Linked DNA regions of Oryzias latipes. The protein of the gene in region 1 interacts with the protein of each later gene in a biochemical or structural test. Links are inferred from orthologs where the notes say so. Each region holds a gene or a part of one and is shown on either strand. Other genes may lie near its edges. The genes, in order: ret, tln1 and grb10.

Region 1 (10,078 bases):
CTCGGCGGCGCTGTCCTGCATGGCGTGCACCTGCAGGACCGGCGTTCCCGCTGGCTGGCCCACGTAAACCGTCTCAATGTATTCCTTCTGAGGGAAGTACAGCCCCGCCGCTCCTGCAGAGACGCAAACGCAGCAAAATCACAAAGCAGTCTGCTTTGTCATGGCAGGAAGCAAAGGCGTGATGTCTGTCCGTGATGTCTGTACACCTGCATCATGAATACCACAGATCACACTCTGGGTGTAGAGCTGCAGAAACAGCATCTGCAGATGTTGGGTGCTTCAAATGACACTTTATGCGCACATTTGAATGAATTTCCTGGTGTGGTCAATAGCGCGGTTTCCCAGTCTCCTTGAAGTCACCTTCAGATGTTTAATTGAAAAACAGGATGCTGGAGAGGTGAGTCATTAGGGGTGTGAGTGCGTGCGCAGCAGCGATCCATAAAGCGCTGGAACGCTGCGGGTTTTACAGGAAAATTGAGATGTGTTCCTCCTGTAATTATATCCTTGTTATGCTCCTCTTCAGCGACGTGGGCGACCATCCAGGGAACGCACTAATGTCATTAGCAGACGGCAAAACTAGATTTTCTCCGTCTGTTGGTGGAGTCGAGGCTCGGCTCTGGTTGCAGGCATTGATTTAATTTTGCCTGGCTTGGATGACAGGAGGTCGAGCTGATGGATAAAATGTGGGCGTCCTTCCTGAAGGATGGAGATGTACTCAGTGGAGATGCAGAGCTTTTTATTAAGTGTTCCTGCAAACGAAGCAGCTGCAGGAATCGGGTCACCGCTGCAGACCATCTACCAGGATTTATTTTCCAGAACTGAATCAGGGAACGTTTGGATGAAACACTTCAACATTTTTACTTCTTAGCGTTTCATAATGGGATGGAATAAATACATGGCGTATACTTGTATAACGCTTTTCTACCGTCCTTGAAGGCTCAAAGTGCTTCAAATAATATAAAAACTCTCAATTGTTAGTTAGGAGAAGAAAAGAATCTAATTTATTTGTTTGGGAAATTGATTTTTCTTTAATTTAGTTTGATAAATGACTGACAGGATGGCTGTAAAGCATCAGCCTGTTAACGGCCTGTTTATTGCAGACTTGAACGCCTGTCTGGGAGCCTTTTAGAGCCACTAGAGGGAGCTATTCTCACGCTGAAACAGCCGGAAATGTCTTCATGGATCAGAGAATCCAGACCTCAGTCCTGACCATCATGGACAACAGGAGTCATTTTAAGAAGATCTGAATGTTTTCAAAGCTTCCAGCTGAGTTTCAGCTGGATAAAAAAATGCAGAGTCATGAATCAGCAGATGACTGCAGGTCCACAGAGAAACCCAGAGGGCGTTAACTCATTAGAGAAGAAGGTTCTGGCTACCAGCCACCGTCGGTCGCTGAGCCTCCTGCAGCGGGAATTCTTGATATCATTCAGAATTCTATTTCTCAGCTGGACAGAAGCCAGCAGAAAGTGAGCACTTTCTATCAAAACTAATTAATTGGATGGACGCCCCCCCCTCCACCCAGCAAACAGCATCTCTAGTCTGTGAGGATTTTTCTCCTTCCTGCTCTTTAAAGATGCCCCATTGAGGCACAAACAGGAAGAAATTCAACAGAGCCGCGCGGCTGATTCGCGAGGGGGGGCAGGTTTGTTTGTGGGGGCGGGGCTTTCAGAAGATGTGGCTCATATGAAGAAAGAGCTCAGATAATGCAGCCTCTCTTCAATCAGTGTGTAAACATCATACATGTGTTTTACAGCCTCCGTCCACCAATAAAACGGAAGCTCGGCGTCTAAACATGGCGTCATCTGCAAAGATGAAACCGTGGTGCAAACAGAGACGCTGTTTGTTTCAGTCGCTGTTTCCAGGAGGCATCCGGCACTGCCGGCCGGAGACGCGCTCCCACCACATCACCTCTCCACGCCCAGCAGTTTTTACGGCGCCTCGCTGCATTTTAGGTGTTCCAGAACAAAGATCATCACATGACCACGTCTCAGGTGACTTCCAGAGTGTCTGGGACCGGTCAGAGCCGATAGGGTGGAACGCCCTCGCCATCGTCCCAGACAAAGACAGGAACTCAATTACCTCAAGCGCACTTCAGATGAAAGATTTACCAGCTATGAGCTCATGCAGCAGAGTCATCCGTGCCCCCACACTTAAAGAACAGGACGTGGTCATGTTTGATGCGCCGCATTGAGAAGAGTCTTGTGGATGGAGCAGAGACCAGCCCAGCCCGGCTTCTCCTCCCTCAAGGTCAACGTGTGACCTTTCAGTTCCTGCTAATAACCTCATTGGAGAGGCCGTGTTTCTGGCAGCAGGCTAATCAATAACCGTGCTAATCAGCAGTGATGCTGATTGTTTTGCACTGATGAGACGGACACGGCTAATGCTGACGGCTGAATCCTCTTTTCCTGCTGCGCGGAGGGCAGAGCGGTTCTGATTTCACCGCCGGTTCCACCTTATCTCCATTTTCTAATCTATAACCAAACGACTGCACGCAGCGACACGACGGAGACATAAACACAGCAAACCTCCAAAGCTCTGGCAGTTATGAGAAGGATTTTCTCCACAGATTCAATTAACTAAAAAGCTGCACATTTGACAACAATTCCACCTTAAAAGCTGTTATTGATCAGAATGTTTGGAGGTCTGGGTTTCCTGTGTTATTATGCGCCGTTGCTTCATCCTGTCACACAGCAGTCAGAACCTGGATCTGATCAAATCAAGCCTGCAGCGATTTTAATCTCCAAACATGGAGGTCTAATAACAGGACGGCCATTTCCTGTTATGATGACACACTCATCCCACTTTTCATCAGCATGATGAGATATACGATCCGGTTTGGAGGAGGCGGTCAGGCTGCAGGTAGATTACTCAGTTTACAGCCATGCATACCATAACATAATGATCAATTACCCTGTCATGTAATCCAATTAGCCCTGAGAGAACACGAGAGCTGAGATGCAACGATCCATGTTCATCGCTCAGCAAGAAAGCAACAGAACATTTCCCCAAAGAAAATCCGCAGTTTGGAAATTCCTCTGGGGGGTGGGGGGTGGGGGGGGCATCAAACCTTTGTCCAAACTGATGCTAAGCCACAAGATTTCCTTCAGATTCTGCAGAAAGCACAGATCCATATGAGCGATCGTCAAGCTCCAAAACCAACATGGATGTTCTGGAGCTTCAATGTGCAGAAGAAGCTTCACAAGCAGCACAAGGCAGCTGGACGCCATTTATGACGCCTCACAGACGCAGGTGATCCTGCAGACGTTCCTGCAGACGTTCCTGCCGAGAGCAGCCAGTGAGCAATGAGGGGTGGTGTGTGTGGGGGGGTCATTTTAATGTTCACTTTCATGAAGCAGTTATTGAAGGTCCAGAGGGCTCAGACATCAACACAGCTGTCATGCACCTCCAGACACCTCCATCACCTCCACGCTCCTTCATGCACCTCCACTCACCTCCACACACTTCCATCACCTCCACTCACCTCCACTCACCTCCACGCTCCTCCATCACCTCCACGCTCCTTCATGCACCTCCACGCACCTCCATACAGCTTGGTGCAGCCATATCATTGTCATTTGCTGGGCTCAGCCTTCTGGAAGGTTCTAATGTTGCAGCCGTTCAGCAGCAGGTATCTTACAGCCATTTTGAGGGCTACTTAAATCTAAAGGCTTGTTGGAAAAATAAACATGAAGCCAGAGAGACAGATGGAAAATGAGCAAAGGAAGGAAAAGGAGAACATGTTGCTGTGACTGCAGAAATGAGCCGTGCTCTCAGGTGAAACACAACCCTAATTTTTACTGTTAAGAGCACATTGTGCATTAGAATGAGCTGACTTTGCTCTGTGATCCATTTGCTGTTGTAAGTGATGGTCGGGCTCGGTAAGCACGGCTTGGAAACTGGAAAATAACTTGTCAAAACCCATGTGAGACAAGGGGGCTAAATGCCCTGAGGGAGAAATTTCAATCAATGTCTCCTTGTGCTTTCACCGCAGCAAATTAGATTGTTCCTGTGCATGGGAGGGAAGTGTGACCCTGAACTGACTGCAGGATGAGACGCAGAGCTCTGACAGGTACGGGGGGCAGCCTCGTCTGCGATGGAAACAGCAGCGGAAGCAAAAGCCTGGAGTTTACGCTTTGCATCTTCATCCTGGAGTGCAGGAGAAGGGCGGAGTCTCACAGCTTCCACAGGGAAATTCACCTTTTGCACCAAAAAATGCCAAAAATGTTGCAAAAACTCAAAGCTTCGAACCCAATGCTGTGGCTCTGATCATGTTTTTACTGTAAGCAGCTCAGAGAGGAAGTAACCACACAAAACCTTCTAATCAAATGTCTCTTCTACTATCTAAAACCTTCAGCTGCTCCAACAGCAGCTCTGAATCCTCCACTGTTTGGTTGTAATAATGACTTAGACTTTCAGTGGTGCTGGATGTGACATTGAAACGGCATCTATTACACAGAAAAATGTCTGATCCAATCAGGAGCTAAATCAAATAGCAGCAAGTGTCAAAGGAGAGTTATTGGTCTGGTTCTCCTCAAAAAGTGCTGATGAAAGCGACGATGCTGAAGTGAGGAGGAGGAGGATGAGGGGAAGGTGCTCTGGGCTGAAGGAGGAGTGTTAGCACTTTGTTTCAGTTCCTCAGGTCAGAGGTCAGCGCCGGGTCAAAGATACAGTAACAAGGTCAGAGAGGACGACAAACGGATCAATGCTTTAATGTGAAAACATCTGCGCTCCTCCGGCGGATCAATCTGTCCACAGATGAGATTATTTCCACCAGACCCGGATAGAAAAACGCTCAAAAACACAATATTTTAGTTGAATCCAAAACCCAACGAAGTAAGGTGTTGTTGTAATAAATAACAGCAAAAATCTGTGATGGACAGAAACTTCACTTCATCTGCAGTTTCTGTCCCCATGTCGGACTTTAACTAAGAGAAGCTTCTAAATGATCCTTTCAACACGCCACTATTATAGATTTGAATAAAAAACAGCAAACTGTAAACTCCTGAAGGCGGGAAGAACAGAAGTCCTTCAGAGGACGGTGACGCCATCACCCAGAAGATCTTTGTTCCAGTGAACCAGCAGCTCCATGCAGGATGGAATCGGGTTGGCGTGCGCCCTGCACCTCCTGCAAACAAACAGCCATGTTTGCCCAGAGACAGCAGCTGCTGCACACCTGCCTGCAGCGCCTGCCTGGACGCACGGCACGCACGCGGCTCTTTTGTTGCTCGGAGCCGCCAGGTGATGGAGGTGATGGCTGCGGTGCCGGGCCGGACGGGTGTAGATTTCAGCACCCCTTTAATTACCAGCACAGCCTTGACTGGGTAAATCCAGCGGGGGGAGCGGTGACCTTCGGTCCACAGAGGAGGAGCCATGTTTGGGGCTTCAGTCTGAACTTGTTTTCCTCGTGAAAGATCATAAAACCACAGCATTTATTTTATGAAGAGCATAAAGACGCTCTACACCCATAAAGGGGGGATTAGAAGTTTAATAGCCCCCACTTCAGGTGAAATAAAGCAGCAGAAGCTCGATGATGATGGGGCATTTCAGAGCTTTTTGCCCCAACTTCTAACTCTGATTGTGAATCTGTAACAAAAGCAGAGATCTTCTGGGGGTCCAGCCTCCTGAGTGACGCACTCTTTAAATTTAGACCGTGTTGGGACAGTTGGGCTGTGGGATTGTGAATGGGATTATAATATTATGGGGTGTCCGACAGACTGACCGCTCTCTGCGGGCCATCGGAGGAACATCACGCACTCGAATCACGCAGCTGCTGAAAAGCTTTTCGTCATTTTCTCTTTCACCTGAACATGCGCAAACTTCTGCGCACTGAGCTGCTTTTTCCTTCAGATGTTCATGAATTTGTCAAAGTTCCGTCCAGTTTAGCTCTAATATACATCCCGGAAAGTTCTGGTTCCGGTGTCTAACACAAAAAAAACCCGCAGTCCGCAGTGAAAACCACGCAGCCACAGTTACTATAACATGTTTTCCGCTCAAACCGGGTGTGTTTTCCCGGTTATCCGGGATGAACCGGCGCCTTACCTCCAAGCAGCAGCAGCAGCAGCAGCAGCTGCAGCGCAGCGGCTGTTCCCGCACAGAAACCACAGCGTGACTCCATCCCGCACCACCATTAGGGGAAAGTTTTCAACGCAGACACAATCCACGCAAGTTCCTGCTTCCAACCCGCAACAGATACACAACCGGGAAAAGCCCAAAAAGTTCGCGCTGAAAGGGAGAAGACACCCGCAAAAGACAGACCCCCGCGTGCGTCCTGCGCGCGCCGCTCCGGGTAGACAGATGAACTCCTCACCGTCCCACCGACGCGCTGCAGAGAGAGGCTCCTCCAGCGGTGGCTGGGTGTGTGTGTGTGTGTGTGTGTGTGTGTGTGTGTGTGTGTGTGTGTGTGTGTGTGTGTGTGTGTGTGTGTGTGTGTGTGTGTGTGTGTGTGTGTGTGTGTGTGTGTGTATATGGGCAGCTCCACAGGGGTGTGTGTTCGCCCGCGCGGGGGGAGGGGGGTCATTCATCAGCAGCTCATCAACTCATACCTGTTCTGTGGACCTTCATCTTTGTTTTCATTCTGTTCACTTTTATGCAAACATTTTAGAATGACATTTTTTTAAGTTTCTCTGCGGCTTAAAAAAGCTTTAGAAATAAAAATACGAACTATTTGTAATAAAACTAAAACTTACGTAAGAATTCACAGGCAAAGATGATGTTTTATGACGTCATGATGTTCTGAGCGTAAATGTTTCTCACTGAGACATCTGAGTGATTCCTGACAGCTGCACTGCCTTCTTCCCTGGGGGGGTCATCTCCCTTGTTTTGTCCTGGATGTTAGGGACAGACCCGCCTCCCTCGACCGTCTTCATGCTGTGGTTCAGGGACTCTCAGGTATCTGTTTGGGCATTTGCTTTTTTAAATTCTGATTTCATGACTCACTTTTCTTATTTTAGCCTTTTATGCTAACATATCAAGAGCCTTTCATGTGTGGTCAAATTGTGGGAGACCTTTCCCCTGGGCCTGGGGGGCTGAGGTATGACAGGCTGAAGGGATGCTGAGGCGAGGCCAAGGCGGCGTCCTTCCACCCCCTGCCTGATGCCAAAGCGTGAGGCTCTCAGAGCGAACAGGAGGTCACAGAGCTTCCTCTGTTGACAGGAGAACAGCACCTCCTCCTCCTCTGCCATTTTAAAACCAATGATTCCTCTGTTTGCAGATGTTTAGTTTGCATTTCTGTAAAGACATAAATAAGATGAAAACAAAGATGCAGAATCTGCTGGAGACTGTTTATGTGGGCTGATAATGAAACGATTCTCATAAAACTCCTTCAGGTTTGGTTTGGAATCACAAAATCAAAAACGTTGATACGGAGTGGATTCTACAATCTGAACAAGTGTGAAGCACCTCAGAGCATCATGGGAGTTTGAGGACACGATCACATGACATCAGGAGCCGAGCAGGCGGCTGGAGCGCAACAGATAAAGTTTCCATACGGCAGCCTATAGGTATCCTGAGACTCTGTGTGGATCAATAAGACGAGGAAATGCGGCGAAGCGAACATGCTGAGCAGCCGCCGTGCGTTTTCAGTACTGATGATCATGCTCCCAGATGAAGGGGAGGCGGGGCCTGCAGCAGAAGTTCAGGATGAAATAGAAGCAGAATATTGATCAGTGGTCTCATGTTAAAGAAGTCGCTGCAAAGGCGTCGGCACACAAGAACAAACGATGCCGGGATCTCCACCCACTCCAGGTTCCAGTTTGAAGATGCAGAAGGATCTGCACCCTGAGACATTCTGCAGGGGATCCCACCAAACTCGTCTCCACCACCTTTGACCTCCCGCCACTCCACGGGAAACCAACCCTGGCTCCAAATCATCTGTCAATCACAGCTTCCACCGGACCAGCAGCTCACCTGCTTCATTACCCATCCAGTCCAGAACCCTCCACGTTGGTGCGGTTTTCTTCTTGTTACAAAATCTGAGAGTAAATTCACAAAACTAAATGCAGACCATGGAGGACGGTTTGGCTTTGCTGAAGTGGAGCATCTGATGAATTTAATGGGTTTCATTTCCCTGATTTACTGATACAGAGAATGGAAGAGGTGCCAGTTCCCATTAACAGCACTCCTCTGAGAGCCCTGCATCTTGACCCTGTTCAAGTACTGTCACCGGGACAGCAGATGGCACACACACACACACACACACACACACACACACACGCACACACACACACACGCACTGAGGGGAGAAAGAGTAGTGACCATGGTAACGGACCTGTAATGGTTTTCCTGGTGTGTCACTGAATCACTTGGCCTAATTTGTTAAGTAGCACCTTAATATATTTGATTTAATCATCTATTCTGCGCTGAAAACAAGTGGCATGGAATAAATCCCACGCTGTCCCCCCTCATGTCTTCTTCACAAACAGGCTGAGGGGGTCCAGGCCGCCGCGGCCGTTTTTCAAACATCCTGACAGCAGACCTGATCAGAAATGGTGAACGGCGTATCCGCCTCCAGCGCTTTACTACGTCACGTTCATCCATCAACACACCCACACTGACGAGCACTGGCACCAGCCGACAACCACAGGGAGCAGTGTGGGGTTCAGTGTCTTGCCCAAGGACACTTCAACACATGGGAGGGCAGGAACTGAACCTGCAGTCTTCCGATAAGAGGTCGACCGCTCTACCTCTGCACCCGCACAAACCTCTCAGGACTAATGAGGACCCTTTCCCATCCATGTGGTTTATTTGTCAGACAGCGGTCAGTTTCCATACGCTGGTCATATTCTGAGGAAGAAGGCCTTCCTGTAGAGCAGGTAGGCGGCCAGCACCCACAGGGACGTTCCCCACACGCCCTGGAACAGGAATTCCCAGTGGCTGTCCTGGAAACGCATATTCCAGCTGAACGGGAAGTAGAAGCCCAGCAGGGAGTGTCCGACGTACACCAAGATGGAGTTCATCCCTGACAGCAGAGAGGGAAACGGTACAGGGAGTCAGACTTTTACAGCAAAACAAAAAATCTGTGGTTACTTTGATTCAACATTTGGATGTCTTTTGATGAACGATTCATAAAATAATAGAGGACAATTTTCTGTACAAGTCTTTACTTTTCTTCATTTGTTTTCATCTGAATCATTTCTGCAGAATAAAAAGACATTTTGACCAAATGATGCTAAAAATCCTCCAGAAAGACGTCATTTTGTTGTTAGCCTGCGGCTGCGGCGGCATCCATGTGTTCCACACCGAACGATCAGAGGCGGATTCCTGATGAAACAGTGTTGGTGTCACATCTGCTCCATCCGCCTTAAACCTCCGTCTCACAGCCTGCAGCTCCACCTGCGTGGTTCATGTTCGGGGTGGTCGGTCCAGGTCACCACACCACCTGACACGCTGCTCCGAGGACACATCTCTGTTTAACACGGAGCATCATCATCATTTCTGTCTGTTCTTTGTGTTTATTTATCCTCTGGAGACCAAATCCAGACCCTCGTCTGTCTTTGATTTGGTTCATTCTCAGGGCTGGAAATCCAACCTGCATAAATCTCTCTTTTCACATCTGAAGCGTTTAGCTTGTGCAGACCAGACCTTCCCAGCATCCTCAAGTTGGACAGCTGTGTCACTTTGGACACAGCTGGAGCTGATTTTGTGTGAAACTTTAACTGTCGTTTGGATCAAGACAGATTTAAAAAACAAGAATCTCTGCGTTTCTTATTCCTCAGAAAACGATTTTCATCAACTTTTCTTTAAATGAAAAGTGACTTTTATGACACTCTGCTGGTTTGTAATGATTCCTCCTCTCCAGCATCACTATAACGGCGTTTTGACTGATGCGTCTGGAAAAGTCTCTAATCTGGATGGAGGTCGCTGACAGAACATGTCCGTGTGGAACAGTCTGCCAAAAGCCGTGTTGCTGATGTTTTGCGGTTTCTGCACAGGTTTAGTGTGAAAATGACCTGGATAAAGGAAAGGCTGTCCTCCCCACCAGCCCCGGACGTCGATGAGGAAATACATGCCTCCAAGCAGCAGGAAAGACAGAGCGCCCGTACACGTCACATAGGACAGCGACCTGCAACAGAGGACACGC
Region 2 (10,327 bases), on another chromosome or scaffold:
ATTTTTCTTTCTATTTGTCCTCCATAATGAGAAAGACGCCAGAAGAACATGTTATAATGTTGATTGAGGAAGCACTTCACTACTGTTGCATGTCAGCACTGGGCTGCTTTTCTCTCTCTTCTCAAGCTGCTGGACTTGCCTTAACTGCTTAACTTCCATCTGCTGTTGTCACTGCGAAAAAGGAATCCTGCAGCTCAGGTTCAGGATGTCTTGCTTTTGTCTTGCAGCACATCCCAAGTCCAGTCAAGAAGATGCCTCGCATCCCGGCCACCACCACAGCTCCTGAGGCCAGCAGCTAGGAGAGCGTGCAGACTTCCTCTGAGTCATCTTGGTCCAGCAGAGTAAAGGTCCAGCAACAACCCAGAAGAGAAACCAGCTCCTCCACAGCCCCTGAATTGTAGCAGAAGAGGGAGACCCAAAAGATTCCCCTCTGCCTGTGACCCCCCCCCCACATCTACCATTAGGATTTAACAGAGCTCGTCTGAAATGCTGCATGTGACTGCCTTTTAGATCTTTGTCATTTTAAATCGTGTCTATTGGGCGGCTGTAGGCCTCACTGAGGCATGACTTGGCCGTTCAACACCAGGGGCGACGCCCTGTGCTGCCCTGCTCCAGGCTTCAGCTGCTTACAGACTGCTGCTTCTCAACATCTTCATGTTGCTCTTTCTTGGATCTAGGAACCCGCTTTGTGAGCTGCAGCTTCCTTCAGTCAGTTTGTCCACATTTCATTTGCCAAACAATCACAAGAGTGCATCAAGTCCTGTCTGCGAGATCCGCGGTATTCCAGAGCCGCCTGCTTCGATCCATTTGTCAGACTGGAACTGATCAGGATTTTCGTCGTCAGGTATCTCCCTCTGAGTGACGGTGGAACCTGAATGCATTTCATAGTGATGCCTCTCTAAAACACTAATTAACAAGCATTTATTTATCAAATGTAGAAGCTGGAACTAAAAAGACCCTCAAAGGTTTGAAACCTGTCTGCCAGAAACCATCAGCCTTTGCGGCACTGTGACTTCCTGCCGGCGGCGGCGGCAGCAGCGGCGGCTCTGGGGAGCTGGATTGTTTAGTGTAAAGCTGAGCTCCTTGAGGAGAAGCCTTACAGAGTGTAGATAAAGCGTTTCATCAGACGATGTACAGATCTATTCTTTTAAATTGTACAGTCATCCGGTTGCTGTGATGCTGGGCTGTGTGGTCATACCGGCTTCAGTGTCGCTGGTATGTCTGAGTGCGGCTGGTCTCAGAGCTCAAACCGACCTTTTCTAGCATCAGTGATCATGTACAGAACAAAGTCAGATTATTTATGTGATGTAGATATGAGTGTGTTCGGATCTGCTGAGTCATGTAAAGGCATGAATAAAGGGATTCTGAACCTGAGAGGTGTTCTGATGTGTTCTTCACAGCTGGTAATCAACGGAACTTCAGGAGTGGATCCAACAGAACAGTTGAGTTTCCCCATCGGCCACCACATTGAACTAACAACAGTTAATCTTTGACTGGAACTAGAATGCAGAACAGGAGCCACGCTTATTGAGGACCAACACTGCCACCTTGAGTTTTGTTGGTGAAATGCAGTAATGTTTTTTTTTTTTCCTGTCTGCATGTCACTCATGCATGTTTGCTTCAAGTAGAAGTAAAAATTGTTTGTCCTACCAGAGAAAATTATGTTTTCAATAAAACACTGACATGACAACCAATGTCAAACCAGGATTCACATCAGTCCTCTCTGAGGCAGACAAATAAAGTCCAGTATAAACCGATTCACTGACCTAAAATCAATCCAGGACATCTTTGGCCAAAACTTCTACCAGTGTGACTCGGATAAAAAAAAAAGTGAACTTTATTGAGTTTAAGCCACTCGGATGTGAATTTCCTACCGCCGCTCTGCAGAAACTATGCTATAGAAAACAACAGATTTCTTTTATTTTGACTAAAACGGCATAAACATCCTTAAGAGACCACAGGGAACTCATTTACAATAGATTTAAGAAAGATTAACCTGTAAAATAAATGACTAAATTAAAAATAAATCAAAGCAACTGATGCTTTCAAAGCTTGGTGAAAGACAGCTAGGAAGCCACCCTATTGACGTGTTTAACTTTATCACAAAATAAGCCTCTATCATGATTGTATTAGTCAAATTAAAAAACATCTACCTTTATGAACCGACACATTGAGAACATCATTGTGTGTGTCTGTGTCCAGGAATGGTTTGATTCCATATTAGTGGTTGGTGGCATGGAAGGATAGCACAATCCAAGGAAAGCTCATTATTGTAATTGTCCCCTTTTCAAATGTAAATCTGCTTTTCTGAATAACTTCCTGACTAGAGAAAAATTAATTGTCCAGTCAATTCTTACACTACAATTCCCAGAACCCCACCCCTTCAAATTTGGTATCCCTGAAAACCCCCAGTAGTATGCAGATATATTCTGGTTTAGAAATGTCCTAGTCTGAGGACAAATTTGCATTGCTGGTCGTCAGGAGGATATGGACACGTTTTAATTGCACTAAATCTATTCAAAAATCTTTAGTTGAATGTCTTAATAGGGTACACATCTCTCCACTGCAGGCTGCTTCCCTGTAACTACTCTACAGTCTGAGCAATATTAATCAAAAGTTGGAAATGCCTTACATAGGTCAGCAAAACAGGCTGGTGTGTCGCATAAAGGGTTAAAAAACTGATGGAATAGTAGGAATGTGGACCTCACACCTGTCTAATAATCATCATTTTTGAGGACTGAAGTGACTTTGAATGTGGCATGGTTGTTGGTGCCATTCGGGCCCGGTCTGAGTATTTCAGAAACTGCTGATCTACTGGAATTTTCACCCACAACCATCTCTAGTGTTTACAGAGAATGGTCCAAAAAAGAGAAAATATCCAGTGAGCGGCAGTTCTGTGAACAGAAATGCCTTGTTGATGGTCAGAAGAGAATGTCCAGACTGGTTCCAGCTGATACAAAGACAACAGTAATTCAAATGACCATTAGTTACAACCGAGGTCTGCAGAAGAGCATCTCTGAACGCACAACACGTCCAACCTTGAGGCAGATGGACTACAGCAGCAGAAGACCACACTGGGTGCAACTCCTGTCAGCTAAGAACAGGAATCTGAGGCTACAATTCACACAGACTCACCAAAACTGGACAATAGAAGATTATAAAAACTTTGTCTGGTCTGATGGGTCTCCATTTCTGCTGTGACATTCAAATGTTAGGGTCAGAATTTGGCATCAACAACATAAACCATAGATCCATCCTGCCTTGTATCAATGGTTCAGGCTGGTGGTGGTGTAATAGTGTTGGGGATATTTTCTTTGCACACTTTGGGCCTCTCAGTACCAGTTGACCATGGGTCCAATGCCACAGCCTACCTGAGTATCGTTGCTGACCACGTCCATCCCTTTATGACCACAGTGTACCAGCTGAAATAACTGAAAATGTCATACTCTAGGTTCTCTAAAGTAGCCACCTTTTGCTTTGATCACTGCTTTGCACACTGTTGGCATTCTCTTGATGAGCTTCAACAGGTAGTCACCTGAAATGGTTTTCCAACATTGGTGACCCTTTTGTCTTCACTCTGTGGTCCAGCTCACCCCAAACCATCTTGACTGGGTCCAGGTTTGGTGACTGTGGAGCCTGGTCATCTGCAGCACCCCATCACTCTCCTTCTTGGTCAAATAGCCCTTACACAGCCTGGAGGTGTGTCTGGGGTCATTTTCCTGTTGAAAAATAAATAATGGTCCAACTAAACGCAAACCAGATGGAATAGCATGCTGTGGTAGCCACGCTGGTTCAGTATGCCTTCAATTTGGAATAAATCCCCAACAGAGTCACCAGCAAAGCACCCCCACACCATCACACCTCTTCCTCCATGCTTCATGGTGGGAACCAGGCATGTAGAGTCCATCCGTTCATCTTTTCTGCGTCGCACAAAGACACGGTGGTTGGAACCAAAAAACTCACATTTGGACTCATCAGACCAAAGCACGGATTTCCACTGGTCTAATGTCCTTTCCTTGTGTTCTTTAGCCCAAACAAGTCTCTTCTGCTTGTTGCCTTTCTTTAGCAGTGATTTCCTAGCAGATATTCTACCATGAAGGCCTGATCCACACAGTCTCCTTGTAACAGTTGTAGAGATGTGTCTGCTGCTAGAACTCTGTGTGCCATCGAGCTGCTCTCTAATCTGAGCTGCTGTTAACCTGCCATTTCTGAGACTGCTGACTCGGATGAACTTATCCGCAGCAGCAGATGTGACTCTTGGTCTGCCTTTCCTGGGGCGGTCCGCATGTGAGCCAGTTTCTTTGTAGCGCTTGATGGTTTTTGTGAATGCACTTGGGGAGACTTTCAAAATTTTCCCAATTTTTCAGACTGACTGACCTTCATTTCTTAAAGTAATAATGGCCACTCGTTTTTTCTGTACTTAGCTGCTTTTTTCTTGCCATAATACAAATTACAACAGTCTATTCAGTAGGACTATCAGGTGTTTATCTATATGACTTCTGCACAACACAACTGATGGTCTCAACCCCATAAATAAGGCAAGAAATCCCACTTATTAAACCTGACAGGGCACACCTGTGAAGTGAAAAACATTTCAGGTGACTAACTACCTCTGGAAGCTCAAGAGAATGCCAAGAGTGTGCTAAGCAGTAAAAATCCCAGCAAAAGGTGGCTACTACGAAAAACCTAGAATATGACATATTTTTAGTTGTTTCACACTTTTTTGGAATGTATATAATTCCAGTTCCATAGTTTTGATGCCTTCAGTGTGAATCTACAATTTTCATAGTCATGAAAATAAAGAAAACTCTTTGAATGAGAAAGTGTGTCCAAACTTTTGGTCTGTACTGTACATGGATCTATTTGACTACAGTGGATGCATCAGAATGGAGCAGCGCAGGGAGCTAGTGGCTTGTCATTGTAAGTCCTACTGCATTGTGGTTGTCCATAATGATTTGATTAAAAAAAACTGTCAGTTTTCTTAATATATGTTTTCTATCAAGAAAAAAATGCTACAAGAACACGTTAAAGCACCCTATTTCTGCTGGAGGGGGTTTTAAAGGCCGCGTGTATTTGAGCGCGCGCGGTCCCGCTCTGTCCAAAGCAGCAGCGGTGGCATGACCTGAAGCTGTCCAGCTGCGGGCGGGTACCGCCGCGGTCTACACGCACACAGACCGGATCGCTGTGCTGCAGCTGGGCTCAGAGGGTGCTGCGCAAACTCCACCCTCGCGCCTCGTCAGGGTGGAGTTTGAGCAGCACCACAACTCCTAGCAGACAGGGAGGGGAGCGAAGGAAAAGCAGCGCTTGGCCTCTTCCGTCATTAAAAAACGGATTTTGTTCTGGAATTAAAAGTGGAGAAAAGTTCGACGAGGCGGGTCCCACTGCTGGAAGCGCCGCCGTCGACGGAATCGGATTCCCGCGCGCAGGTCAGACCTTCAGAGTTTTTATTTTACCAACTTCGAAAGTTTCGAGTTTGTGGCCAGGGGTCTGTGACGTCACCAGAACGATCAAAAGAACCTGAGCGAAGTGACGTGTTTACGGCTAACGGCTGCGCGCGAGGCACAGTTAAGATTACACGAAGAGGAAACGAGTTTGAAGTTACACGCGCCACATAGACATTGCCCCCCCCTCCCCTCACAACACAGACACACACACACACGCTAACACGCACGCACGCAGCTGAACCGCCGTGTCAGTGGGGCACACAGTGTGCCCCACTGAGTGTGTCCGCCGCTGCGCCCTGGAGGTTACACGAAAGCCCGTCGGGTCGCGCGGCTCGTGTTTCGGACAGGCTCCCATCAGGAGGCCCTGCGGGCCGCACCGCGCCGCTCCTGGGCGTGTTCCTCCGCGCTCTCAACCTGTAGCCTCCGGCTGCACATTCTTCCTGCACGCGGACGAGCCGCCGCGCGGCTTTGCTTTGTAGTCGTTCGTTGACATTCCCGTTTGGATGCGGCTGGAATCCCACTACTAACACCGCTGAGAGATCTGAGTGTGACGCGACTACTGTCTATTTCAGTTTGACGGAGCTGAAGAGGAATTCTTGCGAACACAAAAGAGAGATGGGGATGTAGATCAAAATAACCACCATTGAAAACATGCGACAAACACGAATAATTACATTCTTTTGTTTCACTTTAGATTTCGACTCTCATCTTTTCTTCATTGATGGACTGAAATAAAACGTTCAGTATTTCCTCAGGTGATTTACATTTTGAGGAAAAACAACTTTTGGAGGGTTTTTAAAAGTTCATAGGAAAAAAAGAATTCTTCAGGTTTGCACCTGAAGTATATCAAAACAAATGAATGTATGCACTTCAGTTAGTAATTTAGTCAAATCTGATGTAGATTCACATATAAAAATGTTCTAAAATATTCCTGGACATGAACAAGAACATGAGAGAAATATTATATATTATATTTTCACAAGGATATCAATTTTTTCACAGAATCACTTTGTTTTAGTCAATGTTTTTGGGGGCTACTGTTCGAGAAATCGGCATGAACTCCCTGCTCTTCATTCTAATGCATCCATGGATGCATGTACGTCTTGGTTTTCCTCCTCTGTAATCTGGTTCTAAAACTGTACGACTGGATCCATAGCTACAACCTTGCTTGTCATTTTTGTTGCGCCGGTAATGTTGGGTTGGGGATGTAATGGTGGGAGAGTGTGCAAGCAGAGAGCTCTCAGTTGTGGGTGACGGGTAGGGGGATCGGGGTTGCTCTGTGCCAGGGGTCCCACCTGGGGAAGTACTGATGAACGTCTGCTGCTCTGCAGAAACTATGTCCTAAAAATGTGGCTAAAAAACGGCATAATCATAATTAAAAGACCACTGGGAACACTTTACACTAGATTAAAAGATGATCGAGTGGGACTTTAACGTATAGAATAAATCAATGATGGGACCAAACAATGGTTTATAATGGCTTTTTTTTCTATGCACGCATCATTTCTGGGAACCTTTTGGTGTGAGCCGGAAAAGATCATTCTCAGGGTTTTAACTCCTCCTCCTCAAAGATCTTTAAATCTAAATATAATTTTAAAAAGAACGCTTCAGAAGATAAGAGGAAGTATAAATGTATGCTTAATCATTGAACTTTGTCTTAAAAAACAGTTCAGGGGTGTCTGGTGTTGTGTGACCAGATGCTCTCGTATTAATTATAACCTCCTGGGGAGAATGACTGACCACTAACCAGAGAAACATGACCTTTTGTCTTTATCTGATGTTGTTTGTGGAAAGGTGGCCCAGCAGTGTGGAAGGTCTCTTGGTCTCACTTTGGTGAAAAGATGTTTGCTGTTCAATTCTCTCCTGCAATTAAACACATTTCCCATGAAAAGTAGTCAGTCAGAAAATATTGGGGCAATACCTGCTGGTATAAAAAAAAAAAACTTTCTATAACAGGTCATTGTCTGTTTGCAGCTTAGACAAGTTGCACCTCTGGAGTGGAGCAGAGGCCGAGTGGGTCAGTTCAGACCAAGGCGAAAAAAAGACGCCTTACAGGCAGAAAGGAAACGGCGTGTTAAAAGGGCCTTATGTGATTCTAGTGGTGCAACGTTCATCCTAAGACTGGGAGGTCATAAGTTCAAATCTGTGGTGGCGTCATTCCGAAGACTAAAAATGGGACCCAGTGCATCCCTGCCCGACACTCAGCATTAAGGGGTTGGATTGAGGGGTTAAACCACCAAATGGTTCGATAGGGACCTGGCTGCTTATGGCGCCTAACAGCATTGGCTGGAACCGAAATCCCACCCCCAAAAAGAGTTCAGATTAAAAAAAAAACCTGTCAAGCTTCAAGTTTAAAATGGGGATTTTTTCCCCCCCTGAACAATATGGGGGGACTTCTGGTTTTGGTTGAGGACTTCCAGTTCTGGCTGTTGATGTCCGCAGACAAGTCTTGTATGGTTCCCTCCTCCCCAGAAGAGGGGTTTAATGTGGAAAACCAAATATGTGTGGAGCTAATGAGACTTTAGCAGAACTTTTAACCATTGGTCTGTTTTGAGCCGCTTTGACTAATATTTTTGGGCGAGTGGGCCCTCCTTTGTGAACATTGATCCTGTCAGCTGTTGCAACATGACCATTGAGACCATAGGGGTGACTTTTACCTGTCAATCAAAACACCTTGTCTCAATTTTGGAGCACTTTTGAGGTTCATTATGAAATAAAGAATGATGATTAAAAAGTCTACGAGAAATCCCCCAAAAATATACAATGTAGCAGTAGTGATTAAAAAAAAAAAAAAGTTCTTTGAAATCCTGTTTGGTTGAAACACAAACAGTTGTTCAAGATTATGGAGAGCAGAAACATGAAAGAATATGTTAGGAATTACTGGAATTTCACCGTCCTCCAGTTGGAGGGAAGAGGGGCTGGCAGAGGGAGGATGAAGGAGCTCCCATGAGTCAACGCTCCACACTCCCCGTTTTCACAGAAAGCGTGATGAAGTAACACCTGGGTGGTGCTTGTTCAGAGAAGTCAGTGTTCGCAGACCTCTGTTGGTGTCGGCTCAAAACCCACTTTGCAAACAAGACAGCTTAGCGCCGTAGCTGTGTGTGCTCCTAAATAGCATAGTGGCATGACAGAAATAGAAGGGTGACAGGCAACGGTGTAGGTGTGCAGAGCAGCATGCTTGACGTGCTCCGCTTTGGGCACATTTGCATTGAATTGAAGCACTTTTGAAAGAAAACGTGATGCTGAAACCTTTGACTGCTAAAGGGGCCGTGCAGTCAGTCCTGATGGGCTTGGAGTCGCGAAAAGTTGCAGGGACCCTTTTTTCTAGTCTGGATCAAAATGTTCTGTCTCAAGAGTTCCTTTTTTTCTGCTGTCTGCTCAGTTTGACTAAAATGTTTATGCGTATAGTCATTAAAAAATAATTTAAAAAAAGCAAAAATTGCCAAATCAAAGTTATTTTCCATTCCCAGTAATGCAAAACTGAGTGTTTTTAAACAAGTTTTGGCTCTGCAGTCATTTTTCTTTAGTTTTGTGGAAATATGAAAGACAGACTTTTATGACACAAACTGAAAATCCTCAAAATACTTTTTTCTATTTTTAGTAATTGTCCAAAAAATACCTGCAATTCTTCAAAACTGATCTTAAAAGATTTAAGTTAGTTTTATGGAAGCAAACCTTGTGGCATTCTTCTAACAATTGAGGACATATCAATGAAGGAAATTAAAATTAAACTTTTGCATATTTCTTAATCCAAATTGTGGTGAATCAGAACCAAAATAAAAAAAAGCCTATTGTAAAAAAAAGAAGAGCGTATTTGTGATGTAGAAAAATACACTGGGCAGGCCACAGGCTCCCTGCTCTGCTCCATTCTGATGCGTCCACTTGCAGACAAATAGATCCATGAACGTCTTTCTTTTCCTCGTCTGAGCTGGAATCTGGATCAGAACTTTACGGCAGGATAGGTCCAATAGTGCTCACCATTTTTGTTGCACTGCTAATGTTAGGTTGGGGGTGTGAGGGGCTGTTAGCTAGCAGGAGAGAGTGTAAACAGAAAGCTCTCAGTATTGGAGGTGAGGTTGGTCCTACAGGTCACCCACATCCTAGAGCTGAATTTCTAATGAACCACAGCCGCTCTGCATGAACGATTTTCTATAAAATGACAGAGGTTTTTTGATTTTGTCTGTAAACAGCATATTCACAAATAAAAGAGCAGTGGGAATGCTTTGAAAATAGATTAAAAGATGATCAGAGTGGAATCTAAGTGCGTCTACTTTTGATATTAATATTGATTTTGATTCTTGGTCACCTGGTTTAGATGTGGCAGATTGTTCTGCAGCAGAAGGTTCTGGTTGTCACTCTGTGCAGCTTCTTTTTTGACAAGTGGTGATGCTCGTAAACAAGCTTCTTTTGAACACTTTGTCGTGAGGATAGCTGTTGAATCAACATGTCTTTTAATGCGTGTCGAAGTCTTTCTTAGACTTGTGTAACAATTTTACCTTGAAACATTTCTATGAAGCGACTAATACTTCTTTTTTCTTTTTTTAAAGCGTGGTTCTCAAAATCCTGTGTTATTTCTAAGATGTTTGTCATCACTTGAGTGAAGGAAACCTGCTTTTCATTCCAGGCTTGCACACAGAATGAAGTGCAGCATTTAAGCTCAGCCATATTTGGCCATAATGGCACATGGTCCTGCTGCTGCACAGACTGATGCCTTCAGACTGTGTCAGACGTCTGGACAGTTCCGTCACAGCTGGGGCGGGAAATGTTATGTTATTCTATGAGGGTCTTGCATTCTATTCCACACAAGAAGCCATTATTCATTCATTCATTTTCTTGACCGTTTTTCCCTTTCGGGGTCACGGGGCTGCCGGAGCCTATCCCGG
Region 3 (10,394 bases), on another chromosome or scaffold:
AAAATAAAAAGTTAGTTTAGCACATCCCTTTAGGGTTCACCGCAGCAAATCAGCTTTACTGATGCCTACATTTGGTTAGGCAGAGATTTTTACGCCAGATGCCCTTTTCTGACACATTCCTGTATTATACCCAGGCTAGGGACCGGCACAGGGAGACCCAGATCCGGGCCTCCCTTGTGGCTACATGTTGGGGGGGGGAAAAAAAGTACCGTAACATGTTATCTTGTCTTCTCTTAGGTCTCTGTGCCCACAAAGACTGTCAAAGTAAACGCCAGGCTGGGAACCATTGAAGCAACTTTCCCGACAAATGCTCGATAACTCGCGGTTTCCCCCAGATCTCCATGATGAGGAGTATTTTGAGCGGGCCGCTTCTGCTGCGCACTTTTGCCACGGATATTTTGCAACAAACTTTTGTCAAACGTTTTTGCATAACAGAAAGAGAGAGAGAGAGAAAATAATGAACAAAGAAAGATTTTGGTGTTTCAATAATATATTGTTGTTGTTTTTTTTTTTTATAATGGCAAAAAAAATACATTTTTCTTGAAGAGGATATTTTTGGCTCTTACTAACCAAGCCAAAACAATCTGAGAAAGATGTAAAGATTTCATAGCTCACTCTTAAAATAAATTTACTGGAAAATCTTTGTATCCAGCTTTGACCTGGTTCCTGAATGCCATGTGTACCTTAAATTAAAAATTCAGAACACTGAACAAAATGTGTGCCAATGAAAGCAGATACATGAGAATCTAAAATATGTTCATCACAAAATGTAACTGATGCCTTAAACTGCTCTTCAGTCAGTGTTATGTTTATGATTACTGCTATAGGCTTTTCTGCTGTGTACAGAAGTGATGATTACTTTTTTTCTAAATGTATATTATTTGCTTTAACACCTTAAAGAGAATTAAAGGGGAAAAAAGTGGATAAACTGGAAGATCTTGTTCATGATGCCAACTTGTGCTGTAAATTGCTGAGATGGACTAAAAAGAAGTGCGGGATTTTATTAAGCTTGCGTTTTTCTCATTTGTTATTAAAAATAATCTAAGAAGTAGTTTGGAAGAACTGATTTTTTGTTCCTTTTTGCTCACCGGGAACTTAAAAACCTTTAGTTCTCTCAGCATCTGTTATTTCAAAGCACTGTTATAGATCAGCGATTGATTTTTCTGAATCATAATGTGGGGTAGGAGATGTTAAAGGATTTTTGCGTATCACTTTGCTTTTTTTTTTTAAAAATACAAATGACCAGCTCAAGCCCATGCTGCCATTACATGGTAAACAAAAGTTAGCGTTTGTTTTTCTGTTCACACATAATTGTCTTTCAAATAAAGATGATTTTAGTACATCTTCTTTCAAGTTTACATGTTTGCTATTGCTCTAAGGTTCATTTAGATGAAGTGGGTTTTCAATCATTTGTTGTTCTTTTTTTCCCATTAACTCTTAAAATCTGTCAAAACTTTTCTTTTTATTCCCTACTTTTTAATTACATTTCTGTATGCTGTTTTTCAAAAGTAGTGTAAAAACTAACTAAACTAACCAAGTGATCACCAAAAGTGTGATTCGAGCGGCATCCTTCTTTTTGTTTATCTAAGTGAGAATTAAATGAATCATTTTGTAAAAACAATACAAATGAAATAAAAGTAAGAGGCTGATTTGATTATTTTGAAACTCTTGCATTGCCTGCGCAATAGTAAGTGCTGCATCAAGTCTCCAGTCTTTCTCCTTGTTTTGAAAAATCTATATCCCGACCGCTCCGCCACACCGCAGTGGAGCCACTATTCCGGGCAGTAGCTCGTGGCCTTAACTCATCGCTATGTGGTCATCCAAAGTCACTCTGAAAGAACCGGCCCTGCATTCCCGAGTCCTGAAATATGAGTCTCTGTTCCATGCCACTTCTTCTGAGATAAAAATAAATCTGACATGTTGAAACTATTATTCGAATAGTCTTCACATAGTGCTTTGTTGTTGTTTTTTTTAAGAAGTGAATAAGCTATTAAATACTGTGTGAGCACAAAGACATTTGGAGATAAATTCTTCAAGGGTGTTTTAGACTACATTTGCCAAGTAGAGCTGGAAATCTCCTCACCCAAAGCTTGTGTTTTCTACCAGAGGTCTTGAGGGTCCTGCACAGAATATATGCTGTTCCTGCACTTTTCTGGACTGCACGTCTACGGTTCTCCCAGTGATGTGCTGTAGCCACTCCTTGCATCGTCAATGTTGGCGCAACCAGACCATCCATTATAAACAACCTCTGAAATGACCAGAGCCACAAATTTGATTGACACTGCATTCGTAGCTCACATCTATTACTATAATAGTTTTGTTTGCCTAACCCATTTAAGCCTTAAAGTAAAGATGTTTGTAACTTTACCAAAACCTTATTCTGACTGATAAAGTGCTGCCCATTTGCAAACGGTGAGGGAAAAAAGTATTGGAACACCCTGTGATTTTGCAAGTTCTCCCACTTAGAAAATCATGGAGAGGTCTGACATTTTCATATTATGCGCATGTCTAAGGTGAGAGAAACATAATCTGAAATAAAAAAGGTGAAAATAGCATTGCATGTTTTGTTTTTTTATTTGTATGCTACTGCTAAATAGAACTATTTGAATGTGATTTCCAGGTTTTTTGTTTTTAGACTTTGTCTCTCACGGTGGACATGCACCTGGTATGAAAATGTCAAACCCCCTTCCTGATTTTTAAGTGGAAGAACTTGCAGACTCACCGGGTTTTGCCTCCCTATTTAAATGTTAGAGCAGGCATGTCCAAAGTGCGGTCCGTGGGCCAAATGAGGCATGCGTTCAAATATCAAACTGCTCACAGACTCCTGTCATAAAATCAATAATACACAGCACCTTCTAAGAACTGTGTGTACAATTTCTTGATTGTGATAGGCCAAATGACGCTATAGGCTGTTGTAAACCTGTGGCAACAACCTGGGGTTACTTACTTATCTTTAGAGCCTTAAGGCCGTTGTTTGTTTCTTTTCTCAACATAAGATAACTATTTGTTATTTTCCTGTTTACACAATTTGAATATAGAAGTTTACAGTCAGTGAGCATTTAATTATAAATATGAAACATTTCCTATGAACCCAGATTTTATGGTGACGAAAGGCTTTTTTTCCAGATAAAATTTTCCTTTATTTTGATATGTATTTACACCATTTTTTTGTTCAATTTAAAGAAATGAAAAGTCTCCTATTGCACAAAAACAACAACAACAAAAAAACATTAGTATTATTATTAAATCATTATATTGTATTTCTTTTGCTAACCACATTTTTTGGGGCTGACTCATGAATGATGGACACTGTGATGTCATCTACCAGCAGAAGGTACACAGACAGGTTTCCTACACTGGGAACTTTCTTTTGCATCTCATCCATCAAGCTGAACAAAGACTGTGTGATAATGAATGTCTGATGAAGGGTAATCCACACAGTATGTGTTTGTTTTATGCCACGGTGCCAGACTTAAAATGAATGCCTTGTTGTGTAGAGGCACCTCGGCTATGATGTGCACTTGCATATGTGTGACTCAGGGGCTATAAGTGTGTGGACACAGTAGGAGCCTCCATGTCCTAATCCAAGCACACACAAGCGACTCAGGATTGATGATTTTATGCACTTCAGTGTCCCATGGTGCTTTCCCATCAAAAAACCTGAAATATTACACGCTGGATAGCCAGGAGCTGAACTCTGGGTCAACCCTGTTCTCCCCGTGGCCAAAGACATAAATTAATCAGAAGGTACTCTTGGGTTTACTACAAGTCATTCTATTTGTGTTTAAATCTCTATACGCTTCAACAAAGGAGTTAGATAACATGCCCCTCTGATGTTCCTCTCAGTCTAGTAATAAACACTGTAATATCTTATGCAATAGGAAAACACTCAGAGGGATGAAAACATAACAGTTCGGAGATGGAACTCTGGCGCAATGAGTTTTGACCCCAGGTTGTGCAACTTTGTACCTCCCTGTGAATTCAGCTTTACTGCAGATTGTGCCTGTCAGAACAGGGTCTTCTTATAAGGGAAGTTGTGTTTGCTACCTAAGGCAACTCTGTCACAACACAAAACGAATGTGTCTTCAATGGAGACTCCTGGAAGTCCTTGTGTTTGGGAACTGTTGGTGACACGTATGTGAAATACAACAAATGATCAAGTCAGTCTGAGCTTTGTGAAAGACCCACTCGGATGATCTTTTGATTTATTTTAAATGTGATCCCAGTTGTCTTTTAATTATGATTGTTCTGTTTTTAGCCAAAAAAAAAAAAAAAAGTTGTTGTTTTTTGGACCTAGTTTCCGCAGAGCAGAAGTAGTTGTTTTGAAATTCACCTCTGAGTTGTGGATGGATTATTGGCATGGAAGAAGCCCGCCCCTATTTCCCGACATCCATCTGTTAACACGCGCTCCCACTAGCTTACTGCCCCTCACATCCCCAACCTAACAGTACAAATCCAACCACAACATCAAAATGTCAAGCATTTTGGAGACAAATACCAGCTCAAATGAGGAAAACAAAGGCGTACATGGATCTATTTGTCTGCCAGTGGATGCACCAGAACAGAGCGCAGCAGGGAACTACAATCTTTTTTCCAACCGCATTTTTTATTCCCCTGCTACTGATTCACAAGGATTTGAATAAAAAAATACTCAGAAATGCAACTTTAAGCCTAATTGTTTAAAAATATGTCCTCAAAAAAATGAGTAGAACACATTAAAAACACAATTTTTATAGGTTTGAGTCGCTAAGGAAAAGGTCATAATACCTGCCGTTATAAATAATGTATTTAGGCATCTGGCTCCAAAGCAAGTCAGAACTAAATGATGATCAATATGTTTTGGCCTTACAACTGTTCTGATTTTAAAGTTAAAACATTTCCATACCTTGACATCATTTTTTAAATCATTAAAAACCTCTTTTATCCTCTCAAGAAAATGTATACCTATTATTTTATCAGCTGTAGGGACTATTTTTCTTTCTTTCTTTTTCTTTTTTTTGGTTTATGGGTTTTGAAACAAATCATAAGAAGACAGATATTAAAAAGGTTCAGCAATCCTGTCAAGGAACAAAGATAAAGTTTGACTAATGAATTAAATGTTTCAAGCAGTCTGGGAGGAGCACAATCTGAATTACATATTATGTAATGTTTCCCCAACTATTAGGTAATTACATCTTTTTCAAAAATCAGTTTTGATGAGCAAAACTTAAAGAAAACAAATACAAATTGGTACTTAGACTGCAAAGAGAAGCCATGTAGTGGATTATTTTTATCATTAAACATAAGAAATATACAAAAAACGTGTAAATTAAGAAGCATTACAGCTTAGGTCACAACTTAATACACTTTAGATAGTGAAAAAAAAAAATTGAAGTTAAGGCTTTCTGAAAATAAGTTAAATGAAAATAGAAAGCATTAAAAAGTGAAAACTATCTGCCAACAAGTGTGATTTTGCACAATCCAACGATAATTTGTTTATCTGGCTCTTTAAAAAGAAAAAAGAGAAAGAAGAGGGAGAACCAGAGTAACCCTTTGGACCCGCCCTTTTTCTCACATCATGAGACAGTGGTGGGCGTGGCCTTTTTCAGAAAGGGGAGGGGTTGTTTGAGCGCGTTCAGGTTTGTCTGCGTGTACGTGCGTGTCCTCCTCCCTTGGCCGCATGACATGAGCTGCCCTACAGTCTTTGCTGCCACTGTTTTTGCCTCCTCCTCCTCCTCCTCCTCTCTTCTTCCTCCTCCTCCTCCTCTTCTTCCTCCTCTTGCCTCAGTCAGTCTGTCCAGCCTGGGAATGTTGACCGACGTGGCCTGATCCAGCGCCGGCCAGTGTCCTTCGTCTTCGGACAGTCAGTGTTTTTTGTCCGCCTGCCTGCCCCGAACGGCTCCGTTTCTAAACTAAAGGTGAGGCGCGTGTTGATTTTTTGCTTTACTGCTCCTCATGCATGTGATAGAATTCTCTCCATTCCTTCAGCATGTGTGTGTGTTTTGGTTGAGGATGGTTAGTCAGTGCGGTAAAAGTTCCCTGCGCCGCTGGGATGACACATGCTTGTTTCGGAACACATGTGCGCACTGTGCGTAAAACCGCGCAGTCAGACCTGCCTCCATCTCCAAAAGCGACAACTTTGAAAACAAGTTATTAACAAGGAGTCGATGCAATCGAGCTTTTTATTTTATTTTATTTTATTTTTTTTGCCCTCCATGTTTTCTTTCCAACGTGGACTTCTGCTTGCTTCCAAACTGGATTCTCGAGGCATGACCGTAAACTGCAGCGCATGTCATGCGTTTTTTCCACGCCTTTCTGAGGGAGCTGTGCTGCTCCGGTCGCCCTCTGGGGACGGTATTTTGATCCCACACTTGTTTCAACCCGGCTACTATTTTAACCCCCCTCCCTCCTCCTCCTCTGGTTTCAACACCAGCTCGGTTGTGTGGGAGTTCCAGTCTGGCCTTATCGCTTTATCCTAAGATTGGAGGAGGAGGATGATGATGATGAGGAGGAGGAGGAGGAGGAGGAGGCGTTTTCCCTGAGATACTCACGTAGACCTGCAGTGTGGTAAAGCTCCCACTCAGAGGATGTCTAGGAAAATTCCTGCAGTCGATACTGGGAAGGTAAAAACAAATAAAGAAGAAACTGTAAAGCAGTTTCTAGGTCCCTTAAGGGAGTTACAGAGGCTGTTTTGGAGGACTCCCCAAACCTTACTTGCCGAACATGAAAGTTTCTATATCCTTATTCATTTTCAGGAAGCTATGATCTGCTTATAGTTCTGTTTTGCCTGTAATCTACTTCACTTCGTCTCAGCCCTGCAGTAGACATGATCAAAGTGCATGACATTTCTGCAAAGCTAAAAAAAAAGAAGTTGCAGATGAAGTCGGTGACAACAGATCTCTACAAACCACGTCTTTCATGATAATCCTAATTTATTGACACAGTCTTGCAAAAAAATTAGCTTAAAGCTCCACTCCAACCATCTATTGATCTTTTGTTAAAAGCGTTCCCAGTGGTCATTTACTTATGATTATGCCGTTTACATCCAATATATTAAAAAAAACTTGTGTTTTTTTTCTTGGATTTAGTTTCTGCAGACTGACAGGAATTCATTAGAAATTCACCTCGAACTTGTGGGCGGTACTATTGGTACGGCGTAAGCCCGACCCTACTTCCCATCATCCATCTGTTTGCACTCTCTCTCTTGCTAGCTTGCAGCCTCTCAAACTGCCTAGATCAGTGTTTTTCAACCAGTGTGCCGCGGCACGTACACTAGTGTGCCCGTGGGAGAGGGTCAGATGTGCCGTGGGAAATTGCCCTCATTAACTGATCTAAAAACATTTACCATCTCCAGGATATCAGTTCTGTGTTCATCCAAACAGGCCCTGATAAAACACTGAGGAGTTAGGAATATGAAAGATCGTAAAATACTTGATTCTATTAAAGACATTTTGATAAGAATGACAGTACCGAGATTTAGCCGCAGCTTCAGCTGTTTTCGGAGAAGTCCCGCCCCTTTAACTGTCTCCACCAATCATTCTTGGAGTCTTAATCACACGTCATCAGTCTGACCAATCAGAAGTGGTTAAAGTCTTCACTTCCTTGTTCTGATTTAGCTCATAAAGTCTCTCAGTTCCAACAAAAATACCAGCTAAAGCTCGTCTTTAGCGGTGTAGCTTGCCACAAAACCCAGAGTCAGACCGTGGAACGAGTGAACAAAACAATGAAGCTCAGAGACGCTAGTCTTTCTGCGTTTGGCGTCTGTTTGCACTACATCTCCCATGATGCATTGGGTTAAAGTGACAGCATCTCAGCGCACAATGAGTCTTTCCTTTTTAAACGTCTTGAAACCACATTGAACACACATCAGACAGTTTTTAAATCTTTTAACTTAACTTTTATTACATATTTTAGAAAACACAGCTGGAACTTCCAGCTTTTTCTGCCACAATTATCACAAAAATGCATGTGAGATTGCAGAGGAGCTGTAGATCAATACAGACTATGAGTTTCTCCTTTTTTTTTGTAATTTTTGGATGCTGGCGTGCTGCGGGATTTTTGTCAAGGTTAAAGTTTGGCGTAGCTCAAAAAAGGTTGAAAAACACTGGTTGTAGCAAACATTAGCGGTGCAACAAAAATAGCGAGCATTATTGGAGCTATCTGATATTGGAGCAGGGAGATCTTTTTGAAACCGCATTTTTTTTCGTCTGATTCACAACGATTTGAATAACGCAAAAAATCAGAAATGCAATTTTTAACTAAATTTTCTTTATCTACGTCCTCCATCATCAGAAAAATGCCACAAGAACATGTTAGAAACGCTAAAAACCCATTTGTAATTGGAGTGGGTCTTTCACGCTCAGCAGTAGACTGGAGAATGCTGCATAAACATTTATGGTTCCTGGTAGTATTGATGCAGTCAGGTTGACTGTAAATCAATGTTCTTACTTGGAATTTGCGAGATTTGAAAGAGGGTTTGAAGCAGCCTTAATTTGAATTTGTGAGAAAAATTCCAAATAGGCTCTTGTTAGTTTGAAATTTCAATAAAAAACAATTGACATCTTCTTGCAGAGTTCTCTCTCAGAGATGTAGGCATTAAAAACAGATGAATGTACTTGCAGTGGCTTTATAGGGACATTTGTTTATTGTTGCCTTTAATACATGCAGCACACTTTTTCAAATGTAGTTTTGATTTGATTGGGATTAGGTCTGCACAACAAATTCATTGTTGCAATATTGGGCCGTGCGATTTGCATGACGCAACAGACAGCACAAACTGCAGTAAATGATTACCTTAAATATTTACGCACATGCAATACACTCTCATGGGAGCTTAAAGTATCAAGGAGAGCCCTTTACGCATTTGACCAAGCGGATGGAGCCCTTTTTTTGTTAGATGCCCCCCTCCTATAAATTAATAGATGTGAGACATTTAAAGTTGACCTTATATTCAAATCTTGCTGTGAAATGAAAATGTTGTTTTAGTTGTTTATTCATTTGTTTTGCTATTTGTTCATATCGTCGATCACCAAAATTGAACATCGCACGTTTTCCTCACGTCCTGCAGCCCTAATTGTGATTATTTAATGTGAATGCAAGTTTTGAAGAGCAAACGCTTGTTTTTCTGGGACTACTAGTGTGTTGTTGTGTCCCTTTGGTCATGGTGGATCATTGTCCACAACATACTTGGCACTGCTGTTAGATTAACCAAACAATACCCCGAATTGACACTCTGTGGTTGCGTATTGAGTTTGTCATAGGACCGTCAGTTGGTTTACATTGCCTCCCCCCTCCCTCTGGCTCCTGGAGGAGTGGTTTGTCCTGCCAAATCTGTGCAGAGTAGTTCCTTCCGCTCTGTTCGTTCGTCAGAACCTAAGCAATCAGACCCCATGCCCGCTCCTTCCTCACTACCTCCCTTTAAAATGCATGTATTGTGTCATTGTGTTTCCGGGGGAACGGACTGGAGATAGAACTCCTGCGTAAAGCTGGCGTTGCGTTGCAGAGTGTTGGACCTGAGACGCAGACGTGACGGAGAGGATGTAAACATTCCAATTCATTTAAAAAAGTTTCTATATTTTTTGCATCGTTGCAATGCAACAGAGACACACCACAGTTTGACCAGAGTATATCAGCCTCTATTATTAGTCGTGACATCGTTGTGTAGTCACATCTAGTGCCATAATTTCAGTTTGCAACCAACTCTTGTTGGTTTGCAATGTTGCCCCATTCACCCATCCCCCACACCATACATTGAATTTACATGCACACTTTGGCCAAATTTGGTGGATTTTGTGGACTTATTCTTAATAGTTAAATACAAGTTTAAGCATAAGTGAAAACACATTAATGATGTTTTCCTTTAAAGGTGATTTTAAAAAAAAATTCCTCCCACTATTTATTTGTATTTTGGTCACACCGCAGTGCACATGGCAACTAACTGAGCTTCCCCGCCTACCCCCCACTGCCCAGACAACTTGCTATTTCAAGTCTATGCTAAATAAGCACAGGCATGATGGGGCACGAGCCTGTCAAGATTACAATCTGTCAGACTGCGTTTATTGCACGATATTTTGCAAAAGTACTATTTTTGACAGACTTTTGACTCATTTACTGTGCGCAAATGTACATATTAATATGTTAAGGCTCGACAGTACTCACAATTGGGACATATTTTACATTCCCCTGTCTTTAATCCTCACCCAATTTGTCTTTGTGTCTGGGATGATTTAAATCTTTATATTGATATGTGTCTATGTGTAATGACATTGAAACAGTTTTTTAGGTGGAAACCTGGCAGAGGTCTCCTCTTAGCTGGTACTGGTGGTATAAGAGCTTGCAGTCACGCTCTAGGCAGCATTCCATGAGGTCTTGCGTCACCTAGCAGTCATTCAGCACCGGTTAGTCGGGGCTTATAC

The links.
Region 2: the proteins of ret (region 1) and tln1 interact in a surface display test, tested with the Homo sapiens proteins (2 studies listed by BioGRID and IntAct, with this or other methods). The link is inferred for Oryzias latipes from reciprocal best matches to the Homo sapiens genes RET and TLN1.
Region 3: the proteins of ret (region 1) and grb10 form a complex in vitro, tested with the Homo sapiens proteins (2 studies listed by BioGRID). The link is inferred for Oryzias latipes from reciprocal best matches to the Homo sapiens genes RET and GRB10.

What each region holds. Positions count from the first base shown.
Region 1 is NC_019873.2:29,912,033-29,922,110, forward strand, and holds the start of ret (proto-oncogene tyrosine-protein kinase receptor Ret), read right to left. Parts: upstream 6,361-10,078; 5' UTR 6,116-6,360; coding exon 6,040-6,115; intron 114-6,039; coding exon 1-113. Other genes in the region: heparan-alpha-glucosaminide N-acetyltransferase, read right to left, coding at 8,775-8,956, 9,948-10,060. UniProt on the Homo sapiens protein: Receptor tyrosine-protein kinase involved in numerous cellular mechanisms including cell proliferation, neuronal navigation, cell migration, and cell differentiation in response to glia cell line-derived growth family factors (GDNF, NRTN, ARTN, PSPN and GDF15).
Region 2 is NC_019870.2:24,785,915-24,796,241, forward strand, and holds the start of tln1 (talin-1), read left to right. Parts: upstream 1-5,218; 5' UTR 5,219-5,426; intron 5,427-10,327. Other genes in the region: hmgcs1 (hydroxymethylglutaryl-CoA synthase, cytoplasmic), read left to right, coding at 228-299. UniProt on the Homo sapiens protein: High molecular weight cytoskeletal protein concentrated at regions of cell-matrix and cell-cell contacts. Involved in connections of major cytoskeletal structures to the plasma membrane.
Region 3 is NC_019874.2:13,041,003-13,051,396, forward strand, and holds the start of grb10 (growth factor receptor-bound protein 10), read left to right. Parts: upstream 1-5,427; 5' UTR 5,428-5,897; intron 5,898-10,394. Other genes in the region: protein cordon-bleu, read left to right, coding at 238-318.